Linked DNA regions of Stegostoma tigrinum. The protein of the gene in region 1 purifies or fractionates together with the protein of each later gene. This does not show direct contact. Links are inferred from orthologs where the notes say so. Each region holds a gene or a part of one and is shown in the gene's direction. Other genes may lie near its edges.

What was found.
Region 2: the proteins of structural maintenance of chromosomes protein 1A (region 1) and sister chromatid cohesion protein PDS5 homolog B purify together in Homo sapiens (affinity purification with western blotting; 8 studies listed by BioGRID and IntAct, with this or other methods). This does not show direct contact. The link is inferred for Stegostoma tigrinum from reciprocal best matches to the Homo sapiens genes SMC1A and PDS5B.
Region 3: the proteins of structural maintenance of chromosomes protein 1A (region 1) and usp13 purify together in Homo sapiens (affinity purification with mass spectrometry; 5 studies listed by BioGRID and IntAct, with this or other methods). This does not show direct contact. The link is inferred for Stegostoma tigrinum from reciprocal best matches to the Homo sapiens genes SMC1A and USP13.

Annotation. Positions count from the first base shown.
Region 1 is NC_081402.1:3,137,027-3,147,882, reverse strand, and holds the start of structural maintenance of chromosomes protein 1A, read left to right. Parts: upstream 1-5,974; 5' UTR 5,975-6,075; coding exon 6,076-6,184; intron 6,185-10,025; coding exon 10,026-10,214; intron 10,215-10,856. Other genes in the region: RIB43A-like with coiled-coils protein 2, read right to left, coding at 237-355, 968-1,312, 2,498-2,579, 5,115-5,231. UniProt on the Homo sapiens protein: Involved in chromosome cohesion during cell cycle and in DNA repair. Central component of cohesin complex. The cohesin complex is required for the cohesion of sister chromatids after DNA replication.
Region 2 is NC_081359.1:81,956,891-81,967,779, forward strand, and holds the start of sister chromatid cohesion protein PDS5 homolog B, read left to right. Parts: upstream 1-5,698; 5' UTR 5,699-5,816; intron 5,817-5,860; exon of another isoform or gene 5,861-6,172; intron 6,173-10,889. UniProt on the Homo sapiens protein: Regulator of sister chromatid cohesion in mitosis which may stabilize cohesin complex association with chromatin. May couple sister chromatid cohesion during mitosis to DNA replication.
Region 3 is NC_081367.1:37,018,556-37,029,217, forward strand, and holds the start of usp13 (ubiquitin carboxyl-terminal hydrolase 13), read left to right. Parts: upstream 1-5,856; 5' UTR 5,857-6,005; coding exon 6,006-6,116; intron 6,117-10,662. UniProt on the Homo sapiens protein: Deubiquitinase that mediates deubiquitination of target proteins such as BECN1, MITF, SKP2 and USP10 and is involved in various processes such as autophagy, endoplasmic reticulum-associated degradation (ERAD), cell cycle progression or DNA damage response.

The DNA of each region.
Region 1 (10,856 bases):
GGGCAGTGCATTCCAGACTTGGGGTGAAAATGCCCCATCTCAAACCACCTCTGAGCATACGAACGGTCACCTTAAAATGCCCAAATTTTCCCCTCTCCTTGACGTTGACCCTTTGGGGTATGGTCTCTGATGTTTCGTGAATAGCTACTGATGACAAAACTGTAGGACATCTGCAAACCAACTCCCCCGACCCCCACATACTCTCCCACCCCTAGGGAGGTTAGGGCTGCCCCTACCAAAGCCATGTTGTAGTTGAGGGTGGCGGTGGCGAGGGCTCTGCGTGCATCTTCCTCCATCTGGGCAAGATCGGTGGCTCTCCGGTCGAGCTCCATCTCCTTCTTGTGGTACAGGTCATCTGTAGAGAGGAAAGTGAGGGAGGAGAGAGAGCAGTCAAGCCAGGGAATGGGGATTAGTTTGGGGAATGGGGATCTGTTTGGGGGCTGAGCAGGGGTTTTCAAAAGGGAGCCGTCAAGTAGGGGAATGGGGATCAGTTTGGGAATGGGGATGGGTTTGGGGGCTGAGTGGGAGCTTTCAGAAGGGAGCAGTCGAGTAGGGGAATGGGGATCGGTTTGGGGGCTGAGTGGGAGCTTTTAGAAGGGAGCAGTTGAGTAGGGGAATGGAGATCGGTTTGGGGGCTGAGCGGGAGCTTTCAGAAGGGAGCAGTTGAGTAGGGGAATGGAGATCGGTTTGGGGGCTGAGCGGGACCTTTCAGAAGGGAGCAGTCGAGTAGGGGAATGGAGATCGGTTTGGGGGCTGAGCGGGAGCTTTCAGAAGGGAGCAGTTGAGTAGGGGAATGGAGATCGGTTTGGGGGCTGAGCGGGAGCTTTCAGAAGGGAGCAGTTGAGTAGGGGAATGGAGATCGGTTTGGGGGCTGAGCGGGACCTTTCAGAAGGGAGCAGTCGAGTAGGGGAATGGGGATCAGTTTGCAGATCGAGAGGAGGTTTTCAGGACTGGAGAGTGTGATTACCTGCGAACTTCTGGTCACGCTCCTGCCTCTGCTTCTCCAGTTTCTGTGCTGTCAGCCACTTGCGTGCCTCCTGCTGCTGCAGCTTCTTGCGCGCCCTCTCGTTTAGGTCCTCGCCCTCAAACTTCTGCAAACTGGAGGGTCCGCAGCGGGGGTCATCATCACTGACCCGAGCCGGCTTGTCCTTCTTCAGCTGCTCTGGGTCCCACAGGTCGAACTCCCGCTGGTCCTCTGGCCTCTGGTACCGGGTCCAGAATTCTTTCACCTCCTGGTTCAGCTGGCGGACTCTCTCCTGTTCCTGTGTCTCAAGGAGCTGGGCCGTCTTGTCATAGCGGAGGCTGTCTGCATCTGCGCAGGGGATGGGTGGCGAATAAGACATACACATACACTGTTCAGCATTGATTACTCATTCACTCTCTATCCGGAAGTCTTGCCAAAGGTCACTCTTAAATAACACACAGTGCCCGCTTCCTCAGCACTGACCCTCTGACAGTGCCCACTCCCTCAGCACTGACCCTCCGACAGTGCCCACTTCCTCAGCACTGACCCTCTGACAGTGCCCGCTCCCTCAGCACTGACCCTCCGACAGTGCAGCGCTCCCTCAACACTGACCCTCCGACAGTGCCCACTTCCTCAGCACTGACCCTCCGACAGTGCCCACTTCCTCAGCACTGACCCTCCGACAGTGCCCACTTCCTCAGCACTGACCCTCTGACAGTGCCCACTCCCTCAGCACTGACCCTCCAATAGTGCCCACTCCCTCAGCACTGACCCTCTGACAGTGCCCGCTCCCTCAGCACTGACCCTCTGACAGCGCCCACTCCCTCAGCGCTGATCCTCCGACAATGCCCGCTCCCTCAGCACTGACCCTCCGACAGTGCCCGCTCCCTCAGCGCTGACCCTCCGACAGTGCCCACTCCCTCAGCGCTGACCCTCCGACAGTGCCCACTCCCTCAGCGCTGACCCTCCGACAGTGCCCACTCCCTCAGCGCTGACCCTCCGACAGTGCCCACTCCCTCAGCACTGACCCTCTGACAGTGCCCACTCCCTCGGCACTGACCCTCCAACAGTGCTGCACTCCCTCAGCGCTGACCTTCTGATGGTGCCGCACTCCCTCTGCACTGAACCTCCGACAGCGCCTGCTCCCTTGGCACTGACCCTCTGACAGTGCGGCACTCCCTCGGCACTGACCCTCTGACAGTGCGGCACTCCCTCGGCACTGACCCTCTGACAGTGCGGCAATCTGTCTGAGCTGAATAAGTAAAGCTGCCTCTATACTTTTAAACAGAAAGGAAATGACCCTCTACACTGTCTCAATCAAACACACCCAGGATCAGCACAGGGTTAGATTCCCAGTAAAGCTCTCTCTGCACTGTCCTGCAAACACACTGTTGTATCAGACTGTTTGGAGTGCACTCCCTTGCTCCGCTATCCCTGTTTGGGTTTGGCTCTCTCTCAGATTGACTTGCTGCTTCATGCTGTGACGAGGTCTCGTGTGAGTATTGGGGCAGAGCAGCGGATGGGAGGAATTACCAAAAGCTTTGTCCCGCAGACGTTCCCTGTCCTCTCTTGCCGCCTTATCCAGTACTTGCTGATCCAGGAACGGGGTGTCCACCTTGACAGAGAAGCAAAAGAGAAAATTGCAGCAGCCGTGAGGTCGGTGGAAGAGGAAGAGGAAGAACTGGCAGGTCTCAGGCTGACCATTCGGCTCATCTGTCCCATGCCACTACTTTAGCTCCACATGGACTCCCTCCATCCCAATGTTACTTAAGCCTCATCGATGGGTCCCTCCATTCCTTTCTCCAACAGGCCCCCTACCCTATGAATAGCCCCATCAAATAATCGCCCCCTCCCCCCTTTCACAAGACAGGCAGCCCCTGTTTGCAGGTTGATTTGGTCAATTGCAGTTAGACCACAATGCAGGACAACATAAAATAATCATTGCTAAGTACAGAAAACGTTTGTGTATTGGATCTTAAAAAATGACACATAAAACTGAAAGACCTGCAGACACTGGAAACCAGAAACAAAAACAAAAATTGCTGGAAAAGCTCAGCACGTGTGGAGAGGGATCAGAATTAATGTTTCGAGTCAAGTGGCCCTTCTTCATAACTTCAGAATCCCAAAGAAAATAATATTCTGTAGGTTTGGAGTTTTTTGTATTCATTCATGGGGTAAGGGTGTTGCTGACCAGCATCATCCATCTCAGTTGCCCTTTGAGAAGGAGAGGGTGAGGTGTCTTCTTGAGCTGTTGCAGTCCCTGTGTGGTGTAGGGTCACCCCGAACAGTGCCCAGTTAGGGAGGGAGTTCCAGGATTCTGACCTCGGCGACGACGAAGGTACAGTCCGTTATTGTTCACAGTTGGGATGGTGTCTGTGTGTGTGACTGCTCACAATCTTAGAGATTTTATTCAATTTAAATTCGATGAACTGCCACAGTCCAGGTCTGCTGGATTACACATGCAGAGATAGAACATAGAACAGTACAGCACAGAACAGGCCCTTCAGCCCACGATGTTGTGCCGACCATTGATCCTCATGTATGCACCCTCAAATTTCTGTGACCATATGCATGTCCAGCAGTCTCTTAAATGTCCCCAATGGCCTTGCTTCCACAACTGCTGCTGGCAACGCATTCCATGCTCTCACAACTCTCTGTGTAAAGAACACGCCTCTGACATCCCCTCTATACTTTCCTCCAACCAGCTTAAAACTATGACCCCTCGTGTTAGCCATTTCTGCCCTGGGAAATAGTCTCTGGCTATCAACTCTATCTATGCCTCTCATTATCTTGTATACCTCAATTAGGTCCCCTCTCCTCCTCCTTTTCTCCAATGAAAAAAGTCCGAACTCAGTCAACCTCTCTTCATAAGATAAGCCCTCCAGTCCAGGCAGCATCCTGGTAAACCTCCTCTGAACCCTCTCCAAAGCATCCACATCTTTCCTATAATAGGGCGACCAGAACTGGACGCAGTATTCCAAGTGCGGTCTAACCAAAGTTTTATAGAGCTGCAACAAGATCTCACGACTCTTAAACTCAATCCCCCTGTTGATGAAAGCCAAAACACCTGCTCTTCAAAGGTTTCATTCACTACAAAGTTTGTTTCTTTCGTAAAGACAGAAGCAAAAAATGTTACCACTATGCTACCAATTCACATTTTTCCTCTCCAATTACAACAGAATAGAACGGTACAGAACAGAAACGGGCCGTTAGGCCCACAATGTCATGCCAAACAAAACGCCAAATTAAACTAATCCTTTCTGCCTGCCCTTGAGCCACATCCTTTCATTCTTTGTATATTCATGTGGTTATCTAAAAGTCCCTTAAATGCTCCTATCATATCTGCCTGTACCACCACCCCTGGCAGCACGTTCCAGACTCCTACCACTTTGTGTAAAAAATCTTGCCCCTCACATCTCCTTTGAACTTTCTGCGTCTAACCTTAAATGCATGCACTCTAGATTTAGACATTTAATCTCTGGGAAGAAGATTCTGATTATGAACCCTATCTATGCATCTCATACTTTATGGACTTCTATCAAGTCTCCCCTCAGCCTCCCCCACTCCAGAGAAAAGCACCCCAGTTTTACTAACCTCTCCTTCTAGTTCAACCCCTCTAATCCAGGCAGCATCCTGGTGAACCTCTTCTGCACCCTCTCCAAAGCCTCCACATCCTTCCTGTAATGTGGCAGCTGAATATTCTAAGTGTGGCCTAACCAAAGTCTTCCTAAGCTGTGATATGTCAGCCTGACTCTTGTACTCAATGCCCTGACGAATAAAGGCAATAAATTACTCTCTTCTTAAAGATTGAGGGCAAGTTTCAGACCATTAGTAAAGTCGTGACAGTCGTACTGGACCATTGGCATGACGTCTCATTAGAGACAGTGAAACAACTCGTGGTGATTTCACCTGAGGGTCGCCAGACCTCAGGTGGGGTGAAGAGGTCACGAAGCAGAGCTCTTTCATGGTAACTTCAGGCAGCGTGGGAATTGAAGCCATGATGTAGGCATCACAAATCAGCCAAAACGAGCTGGCAGACCCTACCCCCCAACCTAAGGGAGAGGGCAGGAAGGGATAAATGGGAGACCACTCCCTGATCCCGCGGGCATCTGCCCAACAGCCCCTCACACCAACATGTCGGGTCGCTCACCCCGATGGTCCTCTGCCTGGCATTGAAAATGCGGCTCTGGCGCTGGGCCTCTGCGTTTCTCCTCCGCTCGATGGCTGCAATCTCCTTGGGGTCAAGGGGCAGGTCCAACTTGTACATGTTGGCTCTGTTCACACAGTATGAAACAGATTAATCTGTAGAAATTATATTTATCTTCAGTGGGCTTTGGACTTTGGCAGTGTTTGAGTCTTTGCTTTCCCCTGGGTAGGTGGCCAGCCACCATTCATTCACGAAGACACCCAGAAGGAGTGCTCTCCCCAAACACTAGACAAATTGTTGCTAACTTGGCCACTGTAGCAAACAATGGTGGGGGGACGCTTTGGGTCGCCATAGCAACAAGCGAACATTGCGAGATGTGGGGGGTGAACCAACCATTCTTCACAAAGCGACACGTCCACCACTTCTCACCGCTCTGGAGAATTGCAACAGCCTGTCAGAACATGAGATCCCAGTAAAAGTCAGTGCGGTACAGCCACCCTCTAACCAGGATAGCTATGTTGAAACTTTGGATTTATTTGACTCCCCCCCCACTTCCGAGCTGAATGGGATGGAACATTCCACCTGCCCCCACCATCTGAATGCTTGACATACCCCTCGACCAATCGGAAGGCGAATCCCCTCATCCATGCGGCCAATAGAATGCGAAGACCTGGAGGGCGGGCTATGCGGATACCGGACAACGCATGCGCGGCGCAAGCTCCATCGGGAAATGTAGTTCTCGTTCCGAGGCATGCCTAGCGCATGCGCCTATTTTCGAACGGCACTCTGGGCGTTGTAGTCCATCCGCTCATTGGCTTCCAAGGTCCTGACGAGGGAGGGAACTACAAATCCCAGGAGGCCGTGCCGAGCGCCATTTCCCTCCAAGAGGCGGGAGGCCCTACTGTTCGCTGAAAGCCTCGATTGTTATTTTGGGCAGCGGCGGTTGTTGTTGGTCGCCGACGCCATGGGCTTCCTGCGGCTCATCGAGATCGAGAACTTCAAGTCGTACAAAGGCCGACAGATCATCGGGCCCTTCAAGAAGTTCACGGCTATCATCGGTCCGAATGGCTCGGGTGAGGAAATCGAGGCCGAGGCTTGGTGCTAGGCCTCCACCTCCTTTCCCCCTTGTTTAACCCTCTCCACCAACTCGGGGCAGGGGAAATAATGCCCCTGGTTTACCTCGGCATTTAGTGTCAAAATGTGGAGAATTTTCCATCAGCATCAACATTTTTACTTTTTTAACCTATATCCATAAGAAATTACACTTAAAATAAAACACTGGGAGAGAGGAGGAGCTGGGGATGAAGGAGATTCATCAGGACGTTAAACAACCAGAACAGTACAGGCCCTTCGGCCCACGATGTTGTGCTGACCTATATAATATACATTATATATTGTTATATGTTGCCTGGGAATGGAATATTTCAGCTCTGCAGAGACAAACTGTTTTGGAGCAGAGAAAGCTTATTGTTTGGGGGAAGATCTGAAAACGTTTCTGAAGATTGGTTTGGTGTGTTTGAGCTGTAGGGAGAGCCTGAGGGCTATTTTCCATGGAGCGTCAGAGGCTGAGGGGGGGTGAACTTGTACAGATTTAGACAATCACGAGGGGCACAGATAGGGTGAATAGATGAGGTCTTCTCCCCCAGGGGGTGGGGGGAGTCCAAAACTAGAGGGGCATAGGTTTGAGGTGAGAGGGGGAAAGGGACCCGAGGGGCAAGATTTCCACGCAGAGGGTGCAGTCTGTACGGAACGAGCTGCCAGAGGAAGTGGTGGGGGCTGGTGCAATTACATTTAAAAGGCGTCTGGATGGGGACATGAAAAGGAAGGGTCTAGAGGGATAGGGCCCAAATGCTGGTAGATGGGAGAAAGGTTAATTTAGTATCTCCAGTCGGCATGGATGGATAGGACGTTCTACTTGCAAAAATGACCCTGAACTACCTGGTGCCTGCCACTTCAACGCACCCCCTTGCTCCCTGGCCAATATCTCTGTCTCTGAGATAGTGGGAACCGCAGATGCTGGAGAATCTGAGATAACAAGGTGTGGAGCTGGCTGAACACAGCAGGACCGAGCAGCATCAGAGGAGCATTAAGGCTGACGTTTCAGACCTAGACATTTCTGTCGTGTTCCAGTGAAGCCCAACGCAAGCTGGAGGAACAACACCTCATTTTCCACTTGGGGACCCTACGTCCCTCCGGACTCAATAATGGAGTTCAATAATTTTAGCGCCTAAACTCTCCCATGTCCCAGCCCCTCCACCCTACACACCAGGCTTTGTTACACACCCACTGTTGTTAGGCACTAACTGTCCCCATTAACAACTACTCACCCTCTGGTTGGGGTCACCGGACCCAAAACGCTAGCTCTGTTTTCTCCTTCACAGATGCTGTCAGACCTGCTGAGCTTTTCCAGCAAATTTCATTTTTGTGTTTTACCAGGATGCTGCCTGGATTAGACGGTATGAGTTTTAGGGAGAGGCTAGAAAAACTGGGATTGTTTTCTCTGGAGTGGCAGAGGCTGAGGATTATAGACTTGATAGAAGGGTGTAAAATTATGAGATGCATAGATAGGGTTTGTGAACAAAATCTTTTCCCCAGAGCTGAAATGCCTGACACTAGGGGGAAGGTATTTAAGGTGAAAAGGCGAAAGTTCAACGGAGATGTGAGGGGCAAGTCTTACAGTGGTAGGCACCTGGAACATGGTCCCGGTTGGTGGTGGAGGCAAGTACGAAAGGGGCATTTAAGGTGCTTTTAGATAAGCACATGAATGAGCAAGGAATGGAGGGCTGTGGACCAAGGACAGGTAGAAGGGATTAGTTTGATGTCATGTTTAGCCCAACGTTGTGGGCCGAAGGGCCTGTTCCTGTGCTGTATAGTTTTATGTTCAAAGCCTATAATCCCACACTGTGCCTTCCCGGCTCGAATATAATGTGGGAAAATGTGAAGTTGTTTAGTTTGGAAAGAGGAACATAAAGACTGTATCATTTAAATGGAGGAAGACTGCAGAGAACTGCAACTCAGGGACATGGCTACATGTAGCAAGGAGTGAACCTTCCACCGTGTCCCAGTCCACTCTTCTGTCACTTCTCATTTTTCCTCACCATCCTATTCCCTCACTTCTGTGGACGCTCATGGCAATTTTCTACCTGACAGTGCAAGGTTTGGCCCTTGCTGTTCTGACTTGGGCTGCTGCCGCCTCGCCCACCATCCCCACCACCACACTAACACGCACGCAAAACACTCACTGGTCTCAAATGCACGTTTGGGGTGAAATGGCATTTGGGAGCTTTACAGGTACTTCTTTCGCTTTGGTCTGTCAAGGTCCTGCTCGCAATCTAAGAATCCCCTCTTAACAACAGCAAGACTAAGTGCAGACTATGCAATGCCTCCGCCCTAGCTATAACAATGAGCTGCCACTTTTGTTTTGCCATTTCAATGCACCATTTTGTCCCTCTGCTAATGTTTCCACACTAAACCCACTAATGTGCCCCAGTGAAGCTAAACACAAGTTGGTGGAATGACAGTGATAACACAGTGTAGAGCTGGGGGAAGCACAAGCAGGTCAGGCAGCGTCAGAGGAGCTGGAAAGCTGATGTTTCGGGTCAGGACCCTTCTGAAAATTTGATTTTCTGAAGAAGGGTCCTGACCTGAAATGTCAGCTTTCCTGGTCCCCTGATGCTGCCTGACCTGCTGTATTCCTCCATCTCCATACTGTGTTATCTCTGACTCCAGCATCGGCAGTTCTTACTACCTCTGGTGGAATGACACCTTGTTTTCTGCTTGGCTACTTTACGTCTTCAGAATTTAGCATTGAGTTTAGCAACTTCAGGGCATGATTTTCTACGCAACATTCTGATTGTAACCTGCCTCTTTTCTCCAGTGCTTTGTTTGCATTTTGCTCCTTGCAATTTTTCTCACCTACTGTACATCTTTATCCCTTCTCTCCCACCATTAGCATTCCCTTTGTCTTTTGCTTGATGTCTCCTCACCATTTGATTCACTCACTTCTCTCCCTCCTTGGTTGACAGTTTAAAGAAAACACCATTATCCCACCCTTTCACTTCTGAAGGACAGTCCTAACAAACTCAAAACATTATCACACACTTTCTGTCCACATATGCTGCCAGACCTGCCGGCCCTCCACCATTTTCTGCTTTTAGTTAAAAAGCTGAAGAACTGGTTTGAGGTGGATGTGCCCAACATATCCCCTTGATCGATTTTCCTCCCTACTCCCTGGGCACCACGATGATCTTCGTCTCTGGATTTATGAATTGCAAGATGTTGGTTCGCAGATGCAGCAAGTAGTTAAGAAGACAAATCAATATTGTCCTTCGTTGCTGGGAGAATGGAGTATCGGGTGCTGTTGAGGCCACGTCTGGAGCACTATGTGCAGTTTTGGTCTCCTTAGTTGCAAAAGGATGCACTGGCACTGGTGAGGTGCAGAAGAGGTGTAGCCCTCCTGGATTTCTGCACTGTTTTTCCTCTTATGGGTCCCTGATTTTTATCTCTCCACAGTGGGTTTCCCTGTATACGTGAGCCGCCTACCACCCCCTACTTCATCAACCATCACCCTCCCCTGTAGCCCATGCACGTATCCATCCATTCCTTTCTCCCTTGTGTTTTCATCCAGCTTCCTCCCCTTTCTCCTCCTTGAAACTCATTAATCCCTGTTGAATCTCACATTCTTGCCCACTCTCTGGGCGTAGGTATTTCTGCAAAATTCCCTGTTTGGACTTATCATTGTCTCATTGATTTCCTCCCAACTCCACCTCTAGTCCCAGCCTCCCGCTACAATTTGAAATTTGACTTCTACACTCATTTCGTTGTTTCTAAGTTGTTTCGTTGATCTGCTCACCCCTCTGCCTTTAATCTGTTGTGTAGTACAGAGTAATGATGATCTGCGTCCCTTTCAATCAGGCAAATCGAATCTCATGGATGCCATCAGCTTTGTATTGGCAGAGAAGACGAGTAACCTGAGGGTGAAGACGCTGAAGGACCTGATCCATGGTGCCCCAGTGGGAAAGCCAGCAGCCAACCGCGCCCTGGTCAGCATGGTGTATACCGAAGACTCTGGTGATGATAAGGTGTTCACCAGGGTCATTGTGGGTGAGTAGTAGACAAGGGAAGCCGTGGGATTTGTTTGCGCATTGGGTTAGACAGATACTGACCTCTAGTTTCCGCACAGGATTGGTGCAACACTGTAGAGCGGGTTACACATCATCCCTGTACTACACATTCAACAAAGCAGCACCCCCTTGGTGTAATGCTCCCTTGGCGTTGGTCCTCTGACAGTGTGGTGCATCCTTGGCAATTCCATCTTCCATCAATTACTTTGCATCGGTATTCACCAAGGAGAGGGTCATGACAGATGTTGAGGTTAGGGATAGATGTTTGCTTACTCTAGGTTAAGTTGGCATAAGGAGGGAGGAAGTGTTGGGTATCCTAAAAGGCACTAAGGTGGATAAGTCCCCAGGTCCGCATGGGATCTATCCCAGGTTACTGAGGGAAGCGAGAGAAGAAATAGCCGGGGCCTTAACAGATATCTTTGCAGCATCCTTAAACACGGGTGAGGTCCCACAGGACTGGAGCATTGCTAATGTTGTCCCCTTGTTTAAGAAGGGTAGCAAGGATAATCCAGGTAATTATCGAACGGTGAGCCTGACGTCAGTGGTAGGGAAGCTGCTGGAGAAGATACTGAGGGATAGGATCTATTCCCATTTGGAAGAAAATGGGCTTATCAGTGATAGG
Region 2 (10,889 bases), on another chromosome or scaffold:
ACTCTCCATGCATATCTCCCTTAAACTTTCCCCCTCTCACTTTGAACTCATGACCCCTAGTAATTGAGTCCCCCACTCTGGGAAAAAGCTTTATGCTATCCACCCTGTTTATACCCCTCATCATTTTGTAGACCTCAATCAGGTTCCCCCTCAATCTCCGTCTTTCTAATGAAAATAATCCTAATCTACTCAACCTCTCTTCATAGCTAGCACCCTCCATACCAGGCAACAGCCTGGTGGGCGTCCTCTGCACCCTCTCCAAAGCATCCACATCCTTTTGGTAATGTGGCGACCATAACTGCACACAGTACTCCAAATGTGGTGGAACCAAAGTCCTATACAACTGCAACATGACCTGCCAACTCTTGTACTCAATACCCGACCCAATGAAGGAAAGCATGCCATATGCCTTCTTGACCACCCTATTGACCTGCGTTGTCACTTTCATGGAACAATGGCCTTGAACACCCAGATCGCTTTGTTCATCAATTTTCCCTAGGACTTTTCCATTTACTGTATAGTTCGCCCTTGAATTTGATCTTCCAAAATGCATCACCTCGCATTTGCCCAGATTGAACTCCATCTGCCATTTATCTGCCCAACTCTCCAGTCTATCTATATTCTGCTGTAATCTCTGACAGTCCCTTTCACCATCAGCTACTCCACCAATCTTAGTGTCATCAGTAAACTTGCTGATCAGACCACCTACACCTTCCTCCAGATCATTTACATACACCACAACAACAGTGGTCCCAGCACAGATCCCTGTGGAACACCGCTGGTCACAGGTCTCCAATTTGAGAAACTTCCTTCTACTACTAGCCTCTGTCTCCTGTTGCCCAGCCAGTTTTTTAATCCATCTAGTTAGCACACCCTGGACCCCATGTGACTTCACTTTCTCCATCAGCCTGCTATGGGGAACCTTATCAAATGCCTTACTGAAGTCCATGTATATGACATCTACAGCCTTTCCCTCATCAATCAACTTTGTCACGTCCTCAAAGAATTCTATTAAGTTGGTAAGACATGACCTTCCCTGCACAAAACCGTGCTGCCTATCACTGATAAGCCCATTTTCTTCCAAATGGGAATAGATCCTATTCCTCAGTATCTTCTCCAGTAGCTTCCCTACCACTGATGTCAGGCTCACCAGTCGATAATTACCTGGATTATCCTTGCTGCCCTTCTTAAACAAAGGGACAACATTAGCAAGTCTCCAGTCCTCTGGGACCTCACCAGTGTCTAAGGATGCTGCAAAGATATCTGTTACGGCCCCGGCTATTTCCTCTCTCGCTTCCCTCAGCAACCTGGGGTAGATCCCATCTGGACCTGGGGACTTGTCCACCTTAATGTCTTTTAGGATACCGAACACTTCCTCCTTCCTTATGTCAACTTGACCTAGAGTAAGCAAACATCTATCCCTAACCACAACATCTGTTATGTCCCTCTGCTTGGTGAATACCGATGCAAAGTACTCGTTAAGAATGTTACCCATTTTCTCTGAAACAGCGCATAACTTTCCTTCTTTGTCCTTAAGTGGGCCAATCCTTTCTCTAGTTACCCTCTTGCTCTTTATATATGAATAAAAGGCTTTGGGATTTTCCTTAACCATGTTTGCCAGCAATATCTCATGTCCTCTCTTAGCCCTCTTCATCCCTCGTTTCAGATTCGCTCTACATTCCCAATATTCTTGCAAAGCTCCGTCTGTCTTCAGTCGCCTAGACCTCATGTATGCTTCCTTTTTTTTCTTGTCTAGTCTCACAATTTCACCTGTCATCCATGTTTCCCTAATCTTGCCTTTTCTATTCCTCATTTTCACAGGAACATGTCTCTCCTGCACGCTAATCAACCTCTCTTTAAAAGCCTCCCACATATCAAATGTGGATTTACCTTCAAACAGCTTCTCCCAATCTACATTCCTCAGATCCTGCCGAATCTTGGTATAGTCGGCCTTCCCCCAGTTTAGTACTCTTCCTTTAGGACCACTCCTATCCTTGTCCGTAAGTATTGTAAAACCTACAGAATTGTGGTCGCTATTTCCAAAGTAGTCCCCTACTGTAATATCAACGACCTGGCCGGTTTCATTCCCCAGCACCAGGTCCAGTATGGCCCCTTCCTGAGTTGGACTCCATACATACTGCTCTAGAAAACCATCCTGGACAGACCTTACAAATTCTGCTCCGTCTTGACCCCGAACGCTGAGTGAATCCCAGTCAATGTTGGGAAAGTTAAAATCTCCCATCACCACCACCCTGTTTCTCCTACACCTTTCCATTATCTGTTTACATATTTGTACCTCTATCTCACGCTCGCTGTTGGGAGGCCTGTAGTGCAGCCCCAACATTGTTACTGCATTCTTCCTATTTTTGAGTTCTACCCATATTGCCTCACTACTTGAGTCCTCCATGGGGCCCTCCTTCAGTGCAGCTGTGATATCGTCTTTGATCATTACTGCAACTTCTCCACCCCTTTTACCTCCCTCTCTATCATCAATATCCTGGGACAACTAGTTGCCCGTCATGCCCTTCCTTCAACCAAGTCTCAGTAATAGCAATAACATCATACCTCCAGGTACCGATCCAAGCCCTAAGCTCATCTGCCTTATCTACTACACTTCTCGCATTAAAACAAACGCACCTCAGTTCACCTGTCCCTTTGTGTTCATCATCTGCTCTCCGACTACTATTCCCTTTAGTCACACTGACTCCATTATCTAGTTCCCTACAGGCTTTCGTTTCTACCTCTTTTCTGTCCAATATTTGGTTCCCATCCCCCTGCCACATTAGTTTAAACCCTCCCCCACAGAATTAGCAAAAGCACCCCCAAGGACATTGGTTCCAGTCTGGTTCAGGTGTAGACCGTCCAATTTGTAATAGTCCCGCCTTCCCCAGAACCAGTTCCAATGTCCCAAAAATCTGAACCCCTCCCTGCGACACCATCTCTCAAGCCACGCATTCATCCTAGCTATTCTTTCATTTCTGCTAGGATTTTGGTTAGGCTTTTTGGTTGGTACTCACAAAAGATCTTGTTTCTTCCTCAGAAGTTGGCACTTCAGAGGGAGAACTCTGAACTGGTTCACACTCAGACATGAACTTGTGACCAAATGGATCATGTTCATAATTTGGTTAATCAATCATTAAGATTTCTTGATCTACATGAAAAAATCCAATCTTTCCGTTATATCAAATAAGTATCCTTTAGTTCAGTAAACTTGTCTTACATTTCTCACATCTGAGACTTTGAGAGAGGTTCAGAATGTAAACATAGTCATTTTTCCTGAAACTGTTCTCTCTTTTGTTTACATTGTGCTGACATCTTTTGACTGAACTGTTTGTGTTCAAGGGTACCAGTCAAATTTGGTAGAACCAAACTCAAAAGTATCCTTAACTTTCTCCTTATCAAACCCTGTGGTAGGGTGTGAAGTTGTTTGACATTTCAGGAGAAAATTAGTCAACTCTGTTTCATTTTGAAATTTAATCACCTATTCTCTGCTTGTTTTTTGAGTGTTATCACAAATCTTTCGGCTGCTCCATTTGATACTGAAAAGTAAGGAGAAGTAAGGATTTATTTAATGCTATTTTGCTTCAGGATTGTTTTTTACAGAATAGAACACAACAGAGGACTATTATCTGAAAAGCTCCTCAGAAAATCCGTGACAAATAAAGATGGGCCATAAGTCAACGATTGTACGTTTTTAGCAAAAATGTTTTCACCCAGTTATTTATTTTGATCCATTTTGAGTAGCTATTGCTGAGCAGTAATACATTTTAATGAAAGTATGCATTGACTCTTTGAAACGGACAAGTTGACTGTGACCACAATTGCAAATAAATATTTGAAGGTTTATTTTGCCTTTGATTCCAAATCACAGTCAAGCTCAAGTCAATAAACAAATTCTTTTGTTAGAGATTTTGTACTGAATTTTGCTGTGTGTTCCATGTTGAGCTCTGCCAGAAATGTATGCCTCAAATACAAACGTGGCACTACTATGTGAACCCACTTACTATCATAGTCATTGAGGTCTACACCACCGAATTGTGTCCATGTCAATTAGAAACAACCACCAAAATATTTAATCCCATTTTCCAGTGCTTTCAGATTTCTCCAGCATCTGCAGTTCCTATTATCTCTGATATCAAAAAATGAGGTGCCAATGTGGTGAAGCCACTAATCAGGACCATTTGCATGCCAAACAGTACAACAAGATGGCACATCAGATGGAGGGTCTAGGCCCGAAACATCAGCTTTCCTGCTCCTAAGATGCTGCTTGGCCTGCTGTGTTCATCCAGCTCTACACCTTGTTATCTCACTTTTTGGTATGCCTGGTGCTACTCCTGGCATGCTCTCCTGTACTCTCCATTGAATCAGGGATGATCCACTGGTTTTTTATGCTGGTCCATGAGGTTGCGGATTGTCCTGGAGTATAATTCTTCTGCAGTTGATGGCCTGCAGCGTCTGGTGGATGCTCAGTCTTGAGTTGTAAGATTCATTCAAAGTCAAAGTAACTGTTTTACTTTCTTAAAAGTAACTATATAGTAATTTGTTAAGTGTAGTCCAGTTCTGCAGAAGAGGGCTCAAGACTGGAAATGTTAATAAAGATAACAAGGTGTAGAGCTGGATGAACACAGCAGGCCAAACAGCATCAGAGGAGTGGGAAAGCTGACATATCGGGTCTGGAGCCTGCTTCAGAAAATATATTGTTTGTTTCAGATTCCCAACATCCACAATATTTTGCATTTATATAGTAATTTGTTCTTATTATTAAGTAGTCAACCCTTACTCTGTATGTATTACCAATGGAAAAAATTTGTGCAAAGAGCAAATTGGTGTGACATACAGGGGGTTTTAAGAGTTTTAAAAATATAATTACAGGGTAATCTGAACATATGCTTTGCTTTACGTTAACATTCTCTCAAAAATACCTCGCATTCTGTGACATAAGCAATAAAAACTTTTAAGATTTTACTAATGTTTAAATTGAAGCCTACTTGACAACAAATAACCCATATGTTTTTGTTCCTGTCGGCGTGCACTTTCTGCCGTTATATCCAACAATGTTTCCGAGTTGTGAAAATGTTGGAATCAGCTTCAAAATATGAATCAAGTCATCAAAACTTTAAATCAAAATCTTGCGATTCTGTATCTCACGGAACCCTGTACTTGGATTTTTTTTTAATTTAAAACTTGTAATGCCTTATTTTCGACGTTTGGAGATGCTCTTGCTTCAATTTTCCACTAGACCGTATCCCAGTCCTGAAGTTCCTTCGGCTAAACTTTTATTAACGCTGCACCACTTCCAAACCGGGAATAAGGCGGGCCGCGGTTCTTCACCCCCACCCCCTCTCAATCAATTCGTATTCGGGGGCTGTATATTGATTAATTCACCCCTAAGAGGTGCTGCAATTCTTTAACTACGATGTATGTCTTTTGTCGCATTTACCGTGCACGGAGAGACATAGAGATATGTAGATAGATAGAGAGAGCAGGAGCACGTCTGTTGTCGACCTTGTTCCCCTTTCTCTCTTCCTTTCGCTTTTCGAGCCCACTCCCCGAGGAAAATCACTGCGTCTGGAGGGTGCCCTACTCCACTTCTCTGTCCCAGCGTGCTCTAGTGGGAATTGGATTTGGGGTTTGTGGGTTTGAGTTGACTAGTGTTGACAGTGTCAGTGACTCCGTGCCTCCCTCCCCCGCTCTCCGTTCATTGGTGCAGCCGGAGACAAATTGGCGCCATTTTGAAGCGTTCTAGGGGCAGGCGGCAGAGGCAGCGGCGGTTGAAGAATTAGACTGGACCGGACTAGTCTGGGGTTCTCACACGGGTGAGGAGACGAACCGTCACTAATTTTGCGGATCTTCTTTGTCGTTGTATTGTATATGTATACACGTTGTTGCTGCTACTGCTGGTGGTTTTTATTTCTGCGTTTCGTTGTATTGGCGACCCCGGATTTATGGGTATTTACCGTCTGGTGTGGCGGCTCGGCTTTCCATACATGCCCGTTTCTGCCTGGGCTTCTTTCTGTCTCGCTCTGCCTTTTATTTTCCGCCCCCTTCACTCAGTCGGCGATGCTTTTCCCCGCTGTGGTTTTGTTTTCAGCGATCGGCAGAGTGGGTAATCCTGGCTGCTGGACCTTGGCGGGCGGGGTGAAAGCCTTTTTGGTTTCTGCTGTAACTCCTGGTGAGAAATCTTGATTCTTCGCCTCTCTGTGTGGGGACCGTAAAGACGGAAAATAATGGCGTTTGAAGTGTAACTGCTGGATGCTTAATTTCTCGTAAGGGTTGAGTTTGCAAGATTTCGGGGCCTGCTAGTACTCATGTTTTTGCTTTGGCCTAGAACTTGACGTATTCGAGCTCGTCCACATATGTATTTTTCCTGTCTTCTCTTCTTCACCCCCGCCCCCCAACAATTGCTTTCAGCAGCCTGTATATGGTGGCTGTCAACGTTCAGGGCAAATTTTTGATGCAATCGCCGTGTTCTTAGAATTTGTCATTTTCGTCCCACTGATAGCATTCTTGATCCTCAACGGGTTAACAGGTTTTGCTGCGCAAGTATTATTTCCCCGTTGTTATTCAAAACGTCAGTCATTTGGGTGCTTTCTTTTAAAAAGAAGTTTTATCATGGTTTGACAACATTTTAAAAAGTACCCTTCTGGGCAAGATCTTTTGTGCCCAATTTTGCTGTCTTTTTGAGAGTGAGACAAATTAGGGTGGGGGAAATACTGTACCAAAAAAACTTGCTAGTTTTTTTCTGTACTTCAAAAGTACATTAGCTGTATTTAAATTCTTTCCTTAATCTGATAGTTTAAATAATTTGCTCTGAATTTGAGGAAAGTGCTTTTATTTTTAAAGATCAGTACAAAACTATTGTGTAAACAAATCAATCATAGTAGTTAACTTAAGATTTTCCTGTCCTTTGTGATGATGGTGTTGCAGGTTATGACCCCATACATTCACAGTAGAAAGATACCTGTCAAGAGTGTGTTGTAGGAACATATGTTAAAAGAGAAAGGCTAAGCTGTTTTGTCCTTTTTGAACTTGTTCACCTGCACCAATATCCATCCTGCATTATAATCACATTCCTTCATTTTGTCAGTTTCCAAAAATCACGTGCCTCTGGAGGATTCTAAATGTTCACAACCTGTTGGAGTTGAGGCAATCTTGTCTCCAGTGTAAGTGGTGAACTGTTTCTAAGGCTGACCCCTATTTCTACAATACCCAACCAGGAAAGCATTTTCCAGAATTGACTTTGCGAAGTCACTTAATGTTTATGCTTTTGAGATGACTTCTAATGTTGAAAGCCTGGTGATCATAGGCCTAATCTTTTCGGTCTGACATCTGAAGATAATTCTCCTCCATCCCATTGTAGAAACTAATTTTGTGAATTTTTACATTTCTTCTGAAGCATTGTTCCTTGTTCCTTGTGCCTTGAATAAGGAGACTAAAATTGTATATAGTACTCCAGATGTTATATTATGAATGTAATTGAAATGAGTTTTTAGAAGGTAGAAAAAGGCCCCTTGTGTCTGCACAGATCATTAAAACATAGATCTGTTCTAATCCTATTTTCCATCAGCACTTGGCTGATAAAGCCTTGTATGCTTTATTTCAAATGCTCATCTAAATAGTTCTTAAATGCTTTTAGTTCCTGTCTCCACTCAGTTTTTTTAAAATGTAGTGAGTTCCAGATATCCGCCATCCGTCTGGTCAACAAACCTTTAGCCTCCCTTTTTGACCCACCATGCTGCTTACTTGAAACATATGCCTCTGTAGACCAAGAAGAAAAGTTTCTCCCTATCTGTGCCTGTCCGAAGTTAGTTGGTGCACCTCAAACAGGCTACTGGCGTTCTGTAACCACCAAACAAAACCTCACCCAACCTTCTCTGCTGGAAGGGAATAAAACCCCAGTTTATCTAATCTCTGTTCCTAGCTGAATCACTCCAGCCTGGGCAACATCCTGGTGAATCCCCTCTGCATCCTTTCCAGTGCAGTCACATCCTTCCTTTATTGTGGTAATCAGAAATGCACACTGTACTCTGGCTGTGGTGTAATCAACATTAATTACAGCTCCATTATAATCTGTTTGCTGTTATAGTCAGTATATTGACTAAGAAAGGCAAGTATTCCATTTGCTGCCTTAACCACCATCTCTGCCTGTCCTGCTGCCTTCAAGAATCTCTGGACATGCGTGCAAAGATCCCTCTGTACTACTTGGGGTCCTACTATTCAAACTATTCCCTTGCCTTGTTAATTCTCTTAAAATGCACCAGCTCTTAATTTTAGTGTGGTAATTGTAGCGATATGTATTTTCCCTTGTGGCTCCATTATTTCGTAATAGGGACTAACATTAGCTTACTTAACTACTTGCTGGTTATGCGTATTAATTTTTGTGATTCATGCACACAATTACCCAGGTTCCCCTGAATACAAATATTTAGCAGGTTTTTTTTCTATGTTCAAAAAATTCTACTCTTGGCTGCCAGTTTGACTAACTTCATTGCATTGTATTCCATCTGCTGTGATCTTGCCTGCTCTCATCTTTAATTGATCCACATACCCCTTGCAACATTCGAGTTTCTCTCTCTTTAGAAAATTAGGTGAGAAAATATCATGAAGAAATGTGTATATATTACTTTTGATCTTCTCAAATTTACTGATTATTGATTGAAAATAGCTGAAGCCCAAATGTTGGTCCCATTGTTTCCTCAGTTGCAGAGTGCCACCTTTTAAATCCTTTATTATCCCCGGTCTATTCTGACCTTTAATCAAACTTCAGTCCATTCAAATGTTGCCCCTGTTCCAAGGGAGCTCATTTTGTGTGAGAACTTTTTTTTTTGGCCAACTTTTCTTGAAAGTCTAGATATATGTTGTTTTATCTACCATGACGTTGTGTTCTAAAGAAAACACTAATTCCCTTTCATAATATGATAATGCAGTCACAGATTTTATGATTTTTAGGTGCCCTGTTACAATGATAGTAGTAATAATACGTTCTTGCATTTTTGCTGCTACTGATACCAGGTTAACTGTTAGTTTCTTCTTGAATAGCAAGGTTATGTTTGTTTTCTTCCACTCAACAGGGAGTGTTCTAGAATCTAGGGAATTCTGTGATCAAAACCTAATACTTCACTGTGTAACTTATTTATTAAAAGTTCTTTTTAGGTGCTGCCCATCCAGAATATTTGGCAACTTTACCGTTATTAGTTATTATTTCTCTCTGCTGGTACTTATTTTTTATTTCCTTAAGCTCCTCATTTTCTTTTGGATCCTTGGTTCCCCACTAGTTCTGGGATTCTTTGTCTTTATTTGTACCTGTGCCCAAGACACATTCCTTCTGACTATAATTTCTTCTACCTCTGGTAAAGGACCTATGTTTAGTTTTGCTCACTTATGCTACAGAAATTTTTTATGTACTACTGAATTGTTTACAGACTTAGTCTGCTGCCGGCTGGTATCTTTCTTCAACTTCTTCATCCTTTTTGAATGCTTTGATTCCCCTCAGTCCTCCAACTTATCACACTCTCTTGATGGTTTCACTTCTGTTGACTACAGTTGAATTACTTTTTAAATGTATGCCGATTACCAGTTTTCAACTTCAGAATCATCTTGTCATTTATGGATAGTGTACCACATTTGGATTCTAGTCAGTTGTCCAAGCAAGGTTTGACGAAGCTGATTGGACGGAAAAGACAGAGTTTTGAAACAACCTCCTTGAGTTCATTGGAGCTTCTTTTTTTAAGTGGTGTCAAGTAGCTAGTGCAGAATACTTTTTGACTGCATATTTCTAAAGTAGTTGAAGTTAATTAAAATACTCAAGGGAAGCTGACCACGAGCTAATCAGGATCTGCAATCGTGCAATTTTTCTTTTTTTTTAGAGCTAATGAGGATGGTTTTCAGGATGAGAAGTTGGAACCTGACTTTTGTGTTCAATGTTCACTCCAAACACAAGTGGACAAGAGACCCAAAAAGTAGGTAACTTTGTTGCCAAGCCTGTGCAACATTGTTTAACTCGCTACCTTGGAAGCCACGATCCCCAAGGATTGAGTTGAGTATCTTGAGATGAAATAGAATTTTCGGTTTGAGGAGAGAGAGAGATAATATTCTTCGCTATTTGGAAGCTGGTGTGTTCAAGTCCAGTGCTGGGGTTTATACGCAGAATCTAGGCTGGCAATTCACTAGAATATTGATGCAGTTGTTTTTGTGGCACGTGGCTGTGTACAAGGCTGATTTTCCCCGTAACGAGAATTACAAGAGCTCAAAATAACTAATTAGCTGTGAAATACTTTCTCACACACCGAAGATTTGTAATGTTCAATTTGTAGTAAATTCTTCCTTCTGAGTTATACCGCAGTGAGTGTAATAAACTGGTCAAGCTCATTACGATCTCTGCATCTTTCCAAGAAGATTTTTTTTGTACCAGAGCTAATATGTCAAAGCATGACTTTCTTTTTTCAAAGTTTTAGAATAACGTGTGCTGTAAAGGGATATTGACATTTAGATTGCACCTACCTTATTGTTAGGTGCCTCATTTTATCTTTTTTTCCTCAACTGCAGTTTGTGGTCCCTGCTTGTTTACTGATTTGAATAGTGGTTCTTTTGAATTCCAAAGCCTGAGCCAATATCTAGGTTGGAAAGAAAAATGTCATAATGACTTGTTGACCTTGATGGTTGTTAGTTCAACTGTTGCTTGTTGTAGATTCTATAAGTGGAGAAGAATCGCTTGTAGCTTTACACAATCAAGTTTAGCTTTGGTTTCAGTGTTTAGCAGTTATCTGTAAGTCTGCAAATGTATTTTTGAAATAGTTATTTTGCACTACAGTTTTTGATAATTGAAATCAATTTTGCCTGAAGTCTTAATCTCGTGGTTTATCATGAGGTGTTGGCAATCTTGTTTGTTG
Region 3 (10,662 bases), on another chromosome or scaffold:
TGCAATTTAATGGCAGACTTCCTCAATATTGACAAGCCTCCAATTTGGCATCATCTTTAAACTTAGAAAGTGAATTTGTTTATTCTAAATTATAAATCAATCCCTTTATCCACTTCTACTCTGACTCTACATTCTTTGAGCTTATTCATTACGAGCATCTTATTAAATATCTTTTTGGAAATCCAAAATTATATTGCTGCATCGTCTAGGCAGCATCAGAGGAGCAGGAAAGTTACTGTTTCAGGTTGGGTTGGGATCCCTCTTCAAAAATGAGGAAGGGGGAAGGGAGCTCCAAAAGAGAGAGGAGGGGTGGGGCTGGGGAAGGTAGGTAGGATGGTGATAGGTGAGTGCAAGTAGGCAGCAGTGGGGATTGGTCAGTGAGGTGGGAGGAACGGATAGGTAGGAGAGAAGGTGGACAGGTTGTGTCACCCTTATTGTTCAGTGGGAATGTCAACAAGTTCTGTCTCTGTTATATACTGAAGTAGAATATGAACATGAGTATACAAAAATAGCTAGACCATTTGTCCCATCATGCCTGCTCAGGGACTCAATATAGGTCATGTTAAATGAATTCTTTAATATTTCTGCTATCACTCTATTGTTATCTGTGGCACTATTCTTTTATTTCTTAAAAGCCCTATTCCTAGCTTTTCTTTTTTATTGCTGTGCATGTTAAATACTTATAAAATACATACTTTGTTTTGTGTTTCTTTATTATTCAATTCCGTAGTATCTCTTTGCCTCCTAATTTCTACATTATCTATAATTACGCACACCTCTGCTGTCTGTGTATTAATGCATGTCTCTTTCTGAAATGCAAATATTCCCTTCTCCATGGAGTCTCGCTGGTTTAATTTTGTTTTTTTTCAGAAAAATGCATTTTTCCTAGACCCCGCTACTGTACAAATGCTATGAAAAACAATAATTTCCCAATAATTATTTGAGATCTGATAGTGTTCAAACTTATGAAAGGAAATCACAGATGAGGAAAACCTACTTACAATGTTTGCCAATGGTAACTGAAGCAAATAAATATAAGAATATATGTAAAATAAACATGTGTTTAGGATTTTTTTTAATCATGAAGAGTTGTAAGTTGTAGAATGCCCTACTGGGAAAAAGATGCAAGCTACATGGAAAAAAAAATTACACTTGGTAAAGCACAAGTGAATGTACTTTGCCTGTGGAATTTAATCACATTCAAAACATCTGGAATCATTCTATAAACTGTGGTGGTATAACTGCAAGTATCTATGGAAGTATAAACTTCACAGACAAAAATGACCTTCCTCATGTTATATTTTTTCATTCGAGTTTTTGTACATGTGGCATTCACAACTGCCCAATCAATTAAAAACTAGATACAAAAGACCTAATTTGCAGTCAATGGATTCTTACCATTTGTGATGGTCATTTTGTGACTTTTGAGCTGTGAATCATATTGGCAAACTTATTGGACAGCTTTTCCCAGCATTATTTAAATGCAAATATGTAAACTTTATTGAAGTCTTGTTTGTTTTATTGCCAACAGGTTCTCAATTTTTCACTTTTGGAGCTGTTCCTTCCAGATTGCATATTTTGTTTTGTGTTCCTATATAATTCAATTCCATAGTACCTCTTTGCCTCCTAAGCTCTACATTTTCTCTTATTATGCACACCTCTGCTCTCTATGAATTGATGCATATCTCTTTCCTAAATGCAAATATTCCCTTCCCCATGGAGTCTCACTGGTGTTAAGGTTGTTCTTTGTTTCTTTAGTGAAATCATCAACCCCCATGGCAACTTGATTTTACAGTGCATAACAGTGTGTCTCACTGGTTTTCACCATATAGTACAGTGGTATAAAAACAACCTGATAATGACTTTCCCAGATGCTGATAATGATGAAGTAAACAAGTTTGTTTTTATACAGCAGCAATTTCTGTTGTTTATGTATTTAAAATTCATTAATTTTGTAATTGATGCAATATTCAATTGTTCGTTACTCATTGATTAGAATAGCAGCTGAAGCCTTTTATCTTCTATTAAGCAAAATTCGCTTTCCACATCATCATCAGTGTTGATTAACATGAATGAATTGTACAACAGTGCTGTGCATGAAATTGTAAATCTTCTAGAGATTTGCTGCCGCAATGAGGACAATTAAAGTAATATCAATTTGCTACAGTATCAATTTATTTTATTAACACTCCTTGTTCTCTTGTTCTGACTCAGAATGGATTGAAGGTCTACTCTTTCAATTCAAATGATTAGATAATTCAATTATTGCACTGAAAAATAAATTACTTTGACTTATCAGTAGACTGTATCAGAATCTAAATTATATTGAATCAAACATTAGTGTAGTGATTGTAATGAGGTCAGTCAGGAGGACCTCATAGAATATGAGTTCTCTGATTGGGGCTGTTAACCTGGTCCAATCAGGGAACCCTGGATGACAGACAGAAACAAGAGTATCAGAGGTATTGTTCACTTTGAGATCTGGCTCTGAGGAAGTCAACCCAGTGTCAGGTACTGCGCACGTGTAAATAAAGGGGGCTTGGTGAAGGGATACTAGCCTCTGTGGAGTTACTTCAATTAGTTTCTCACTTATAAACTGTACTCGGAATATGTTTCCACATGTATACTGACAACACCCATCTCCATTACATATATCCTCGCTCAGCTCTTTCATGGTTTCTTAATGAACTTCAAGCTAAATAACAGGAATCTCAAAACCATTGTCTTCATTGTCTATTCTTTAGCTACGAAGTCCATCAAAATTTGTACTTTTGACTAAGCTGTACTGCTACTCATAAGTTGGTATCTATATGATTCTAAGTTGAACTACTGATCACATAACCACTGCATCAAAACTGCCGTTTTTTTAAAATTGCTGCAAGGTTCCTCTTACTTCCGTTACCTCAGCTCATCTGCTGTTGAAACTATCATCCATGATTCTGTTATCTCTAGACTTAGTTGTCCCAAGGACTTATGGCTAGCCTCCTACTTTCCAAAAATGTTAGGTTATGTGAATCTCTTGCTGTCTGTATATTATACAAAGTCCTGTTCAACCACAACATTTTGAGTTTGTTGATCATGGTCTGAGAATGCATCAATTTTTAATTTTGCGCCTGTATTTTCAAATTCCTTTAGCGTCTTAGTATTCTCCTACCTGTTCTACAACTCTCTGAGATCTCTGTGCACTTCAATTGCTTTGCTTATCACTGATATTAATCATTCTACCACTGGTGGTTATGCTGTCAATTGCCTAAGACCTTAGGTCTGAAGTTCATTCACTAAACCAATTAGCCTCTTTCTCCATAGGGATGAATCCTAAAAGCAGTTTTTAATCATCCCTTGTACTACTTTCTTATCTGAGTTAGTATCAAGTTTTGTTTTGAAAGTCTTTTATTCCTGTGATGCACTTTGGAACCTTTACCACATTAAAGTACAGCACAGAAATTATATGTAACAGCTGAATCAGAACTGTTTCTGCAGGATTCTTTCTTGCATCCTTTGAAAATATTAAAAGTATTTAATTGATGACACTACCACAAGAATGATTGCTCTGGGCAGTAAATCTGTTTTGCAATCTAGATCTCATGTCAATTGCACATATGGTAAGAAAACAAAATATAAATTATAACCAGCACTTAACTGAATACATTTTATGTGAAAACTACTGGAAGCAGAAATATTATAGAATTTCATGAAAATAATTAAACAGAAGGTGGAGACTCCACAATCATTCCTTTCCTGGTATTTAATATATCTCAGTTGACCAGTGAACACAATGCTGAAATGCTTGCAATTGTCTTCAATGACAAGTGTTGAGCGAACGATGCATTCCAAGCTAAAACTGAAGGTCTCTGTATTGGAGATGCCAGTCTTTAGCCAATTCTATCAATTCTATTTACCCCACGTGATGTCAATGCAACTTCATAGACAAAGCATATGAGCCTTGGAAACATCCTCGCCATAGCACTGATGACTTGCACTTCAGGGCTAACCATACTCATAACTGAATTGTTCTACTAGAGCTAAAACACTGGAATCTAATCAACAAAGTGCAAATTATCCAGGTATGTCCTGTCCACAAAAGCAGGATAAATTCATTCTGATCAGATACCCCATCCCATTGATCTCCTGTCAAACATCAACAAAGTCCAACTCCAGGGGAGAGGCTGTGGAATTTTGAAATCAGTTGCTATATTGAAATATATGAGAGAATGGTAAAGTATGACTTGCCTTTTGCTTTTCTTACCTAAAGTCTAAATCTTGTGAATGATACAAAGAAATATCTTAAAATATCTCTGATTTCCTGAGTGTTCATCCATATTCCCACTTAATGCCATTCAAGGTATTACCTTCTTCAAATACAGATGTACTTAGAGAAAGATTTATTCCCTGCAATCTTAAATGGCTTCTTTACTTTGCAGATTAACCAGCTGTTAAGTCTTTATCTTGTCCTTTTCTTCTGTTTATCACCAAACTGGACAATTTAGATTTGAGGATTGTAAATAATCTGATTAGTCATAAAGTCATAACGCATGGAAACAGACCCTTTGGTCCAACTAGACCACACTGACCATATTCTCAATCTAAACTAGTCCCACTTGCCTGCGTTTGGACCATACCCCTCTAAACCTTTCCTATTCACATACTTATCCAAATGTCTTTTAGATGCTGTAACTGTACCTGCATCCACCACTTCCCCTGGCACTTCAAACCATGTACAAACCACCCTCTGCGTAAAAAGGTTGCCTCTCGTGTCCTTTTTAAAACTTTCTACTCTCACCTTAAAATATGCCCCCCAGTTTTGAACTTCCCACTGTCAGGGAAAGATCCTTGCTATTCACCATACCTTCTTTCATTTTGGTTTGTCCAGAGTATAAATTTACATTATATTTTAACACTGTGCCATTTTTCTATGCTTCATCCCTTGAAAACACAGATTACTCTAATTAACTTCTTCATTACTACATAAGGTATCTCAGCCAGAGTGTTGGGTACATTTCTGGGTGCCACATTATTGATGCATTGTGGAGAGAGTACAGAAGCTGTTTACAAGAACAGTTCCACAGATGAGGAACTTCAGTTAGATTGGAAAGGTTGGGACTATTCTCCCTGGACAAACAAGGCTAACATGAACTCTGACAGCAGTTTACAAAATCATGAGCAGGCTGGATAGAATCGAAAGGAAGAAACTGTTCCCAAATGTAAAAGGAACAAAAACTAAAGGACATAGATTTAAAATGATAAGTGAAAGAAGTAAGGATAATTTTATTTCACTCAATGAGTAATTAGAATCTGAATGCACTGTCTAGAAGTATGGTGGACGCATGTTCAATTGAGGCATTTTGGATAAAAGATAACGTGCAAGAATATGGGGCGGGGTGTGGCGAAGCCGGACATTGGAATTGGGCAATGATGCTCATTTAACCAGCAGGGATAGGTATAATGGGCTGAATGGCTTCCTTCTGCTCTGGGACACTCGTGATTATTTGTTCCGACATCCACCTTCTCAAACCAGTGTTTTCATTGTCGTCTCCTCTATGTTGAGCCCGATTTAGTGGGTCAGAGTGGGGAGTCCAGCCTGACCGGCTGAGAGTTTCCTGCATTTCCTGTCTGTATTTCGGAATTCTGGTACCTTTTCTCTCGTATTCTTCTCTGATGCCGGGTCGGCTGCGCTATCATTTGGCAATAAACTCTTGGAACTCATCTGCAAGGAAGTTGGGCGATTAATTGAGGACCAGCTCGAGGAGATTTGTTGAAACGCTGGTACTTTGCGATTGTTTATTGCCAGCTCTCTCTGTATAAGGTCCCTGTAATCTCCACCAGTGTCCGGGTTTTTTTTAAAGACGAGAGCAGAAGCGTCAGCAGGTCCGATGGCTGGAGGGAGGGCTGCGAGCTTGCACTGGGTTAAAAATAGTGTATCGTCCTGCAGTCTTTGCTCGCCCAGCTTCTGCTCACTTCGCTATCAATGTCTGCCCTGAACAGCATTCTGGGTTAGGAATGTCAACATGGCTGCAGACATCGGAGAACTGCTGGTGCCGTACATGCCAACCATCCGAGTCCCTAGATCAGGGGACAGGGTTTACAAGAGCGAATGCGCCTTCTCCTTTGACTCCCCTGTAAGTAGGCAGGCTGCCCTTTTGGGAGGGGGATCGCGCACACGGAAACTTTCTCGCTGGAAGTTTTCCACTGACACGTGAATGACTGCACAAACTAACGATGCTCCTCTGGATTTAGGAACCTAACTGATAGCGACAGGCTGTCGACAGTGTGGCAGTTCTGGACTTTGTTAAACGAAACAGAGAGAGACCGCAGCAACTCAGCAACCTAATGGGGCCAGAATGTAACAGAAAGCAAACAAAAAGTGTGTGGGGCTTGACATGTCAGTGGGCGTGTGATCCCGATCATTTAAACAGAACTAAGGAGGAAAGTCTTACAAAGCAAAGCGTCAGGAGTCAGCTAGTATTATGATTTGTCAGCTTTATTTGAACGAGTAACGTTCAATTTCAAAAAGCACTTTAAAAGGCAAGTTAAAAGTAAGGGACTTCTTAAATATGTTTTTAAAGAGTTATGGAAAGGAAGAGAATTAAAGTCAAAGGTGAAGGAAGATACTTTTTAAAATAACTTTTTAAAAAACTTTTGAAAATTCAAAAAGATGGCACATAGAAATGCTACTTTTGTTTTATCAAAATTAAATACAAATGTTAAAGTATAGTAAAAGGTGACTCAGCTGTTTGGCGTGCATCAACAGTGCCTGAGACAAGTTATTTATATACGGAGAGTTTGGGGGTCGCGGTATCGTATTTCTTTATTAATACACTGAAGGTTGTGTACTTCTTAGTTTAAAAAAACAATAAATTAATGTATTTACCAATTATTGATTTTGTGGTAGTGGTAATTTCGAAAATATTCTTAGTTAATCCTATGTTTCTTTTATTTGATATGTAATGTGATCACGGTGAAAATATAGAACGTGTGTTGCCCGCCATCAAGTGGTGAACGGGTATATGGAGCGCCTTCCCATCCCGGTGTAAAATCCAAGCCAGACCTTGTCATGGTTTGTTATAGTACTGTTTGAGTAGTTTTTATTTGCTGTTTCCTCTGAAGGCACAGAATTTTTTTTTTCATTATTTGTTCTTAAGACCAAACAAGTAGTCAGGAAAAACCTTCTAACTAGATACAAAAACAGAAATTGGTGGAAAAGCTCAGTAGGTGTGGCAACATCTGCGCAGAGTAACCAGAGTTAATGTTTTGGGCCCAGTAACCCTTCCTCAGAAGTGAGAGGGTGTAAATTTAACTTTAACTTTGTGTAAGTTATAATTCCAACCAACTGAGGGAGATCTGACAAAGGGTCACTGGACTCAAAATGTTAATTCTGATTTCTATCCACAGATGCTGCCAGACCTGCTGAGCTTCTCCTAGTAATTTCTGATTTTACAGCATCCACGGTTCTCACTATTTAGTTAAAAGGAAAACCAAGAGAATATGAAACTTGCTACCACAAAGGAATAGGTTAATGAAATATTGCACATAGATTTGAAAGAATTATTAATTGAGGAAATGTGTAAGTGTTTGGATTATTTAAAGTAGGAGGAAGTTCATACATTAACAATAATAACTTGCAGAAATGAAACTCCTTCAACAAAGTAAAACACCGTAATGTACAGGACAGAAGAGTTATTGAACAAAGTTTGATGCTGAGATATGTAGGGAAATGCTGGAGTAATTAACCAAAGGCATGGCCATGTATTTACAGACTCTCTTATAAAAGGGAGCGAGGCAAAGAAATTTGTGGAGGGAATTCTCAAACTTGGGTCTAGTTGACCAAAGACCTGGTTGTCAATAGCAGGCCAAATCAAAAAATGGAATTTGAGGTGTGTAGAGATCTTTAAAGTTTCATGGATTGCAAATTTAGTAGTTTTCTTTGTGTAAATCCTAATTCCAAGCAAAAAAAAATGCTAAAAAACTGAGGGCAAACTACATGAATTTAATGTATATTCCTGTCTTTACAGTGGGAGCTCATCAATTCTAAACTTTCATTAGATTTGTGTAAAAATCTCTACACCAGAGATAAAATATATTAAGGTTTTTTTTGCCCAAAGTGACCAATTTACACAATTTCGATTATAATATAGTGTAGGAACTTTGTAATGGAAAAACATTGGCACAGAATGTGGCACCAAGAAGTAATGTTTGGAAGATAGTTGATTACTTTGTCATAGAGTCATACAGCACAGAAACAGACCCTTTGGTCCAACCAGTTCGTGACCAGCATATACTCTTATTAAACTAGACCCACCTGGCAATTCCTGGCACATATCCCTCCAAATCTGTCCTATATGTATACCTTTCCAAATGTCCTTTTAAATGTTGTAATTGTCTCCATATCTGCCACTTCAGGATGTTCATTCCACATGCAAACCAACCTCTGTGTTTAAAAAAACAAATGCCTTTCATGTCTTTTTCTAAATAGCTCACCTCCTCTGACCTTAAAAATGTGCCCACTAGTCTTGAAATCCCCTATCTGAGAGTAAAGGCAACTATCGTTAACTCTATGAATGCAATACAGCTCAAGAACAGGCCCTTTAGCCCACCAAGCCTGTGTCGATTCTTATTCCTTATTTAAACCTACTAATTATTGCCCATCGGCAGTTTGAGTCCATCTGTTAGCCTCCCATTCGTATGTCTATCAAGATGCACCTTGAATGTTGCTAATGTGCCTGCTTCCACCACCTCCACTGCTAGTGCATTCCAGGCACCCACCACTTGTGTGAAGATTTTTTCCCGCACTTCTCCCCTAAACTTTCCCCCTCTCATCTTGAACCTGTGCCTTGTTGTTGTTGACTTTTCCATTCTGAGGGAAAAAGCCTATTACTACCTATGACCACCCTATCTATGCCCCTCATAATTTTGTAGAACTCTTACCAGCTCACCCCTCAGCTTCTGTTTTCACAGGAAGGACAATCAATCAGAGTTTATCTAACCTCTGCTGATAACTAAAACCCTCCAGACCAGGCAACATTCTCTCCAAAGCATCCACATCCTTTTGGTAGTGTGGCTAACAGAACTGCATGCAATATTCCAGATGTGATGTAACCAAAGTTTTGTACAGCTGTAACATAACATGCCAACTTTGAAATTCTATGCCTCGGTTGATGAAGGCAAGTGTACCATATACCGCCTTGCCCACCTTAGCCACTTGTGGTGCCACTTTCAGGGATCTGTGGACCTGTACACCCAGATTCCTTAATATGTCAATTCTCCCACGGGTTCTGCCATTTACTGTATGTTTCATACCTGAGTTTGATCTTCCAAAATGCATCACTTCATATTTGTCTGGATTAAACTCTATTTGCCATTTCTGTGTCCAAGTCTGCAATATATCTGTATCCAGCTACATCGTTTGACAATCCTCCTCACCACCTGCAATCCCCCCAGTTTTGGTGTTACCGCAGACCTACTAATAGAACCACCTAGATTTTTCCTCCAGATCATTTACATATATTACAAACAACAAAGGTGCCAGCACTGATTCTTGTGGAATGAGTCAAAAAGGAATAAAACTTGATAGACTGATCTGTTACTCAACTAGTCACTAGAAAAAAACCATGGCACACCTTGCACAGTTGATCCTGAAAAAGCCTCCCTCACTAGCATCCGGGCACATGCCAAAATTGAGTGTTGTCCCATAGAAAAGAAAACATTCAACACAGTTATACTCAATAAATCATATCTTATTCCTATATCACCATCTCTGGATATGACATGTCCCACTAGACTATACCCCTCATTATTTTATGAACTTCCATCCTGTCACCTCTCAACCTCCTACACTGCAGTGAAAAAAGTCCCAGCCTATCCAGCCTTTGTTTATCACTCAAACCTTCCATACCCAAGAGGGCTCTCTTCTGCACCTCCTCCAGCTTAATAATATTCTTCCTATAGCTGGGTGCCCAGAACTGAACACAGTATTCCAGTACACAGTATTAGAACATAGAACATAGAACATAGAACAGTACAGCACAGAACAGGCCCTTCAGCCCACAATGTTGTGCCGACCATTGATCCTCATGTAAGCACCCTCAAATTTCTGTGACCATATACATGTCCAGCAGTCTCTTAAATGACCCCAATGACCTTGCTTCCACAACTGCTGCTGGCAACGCATTCCATGCTCTCACAACTCTCTGCGTAAAGAACCTGCCTCTGACATCCCCTCTATACTTTCCACCAACCAGCTTAAAACTATGACCCCTCGTGCTAGCCATTTCTGCCCTGGGAAATAGTCTCTGGCTATCAACTCTATCTATGCCTCTCATTATCTTGTATACCTCAATTAGGTCCCCTCTCCTCCTCCTTTTCTCCAATGAAAAGAGACCGAGCTCAGTCAACCTCTCTTCATAAGATAAGCCCTCCAGTCCAGGCAGCATCCTGGTAAACCACCTCTGAACCCCCTCCAAAGCATCCACATCTTTCCTATAATAGGGCGCCCAGAACTGGACGCAGTATTCCAAGTGCGGTCTAACCAAAGTTTTATAGAGCTGCAACAAGATCTCACGACTCTTAAACTCAATCCCCCTGTTAATGAAAGCCAAAACACCATATGCTTTCTTAACAACCCTGTCCACTTGGGTGGCCATTTTAAGGGATCTATGTATCTGCACA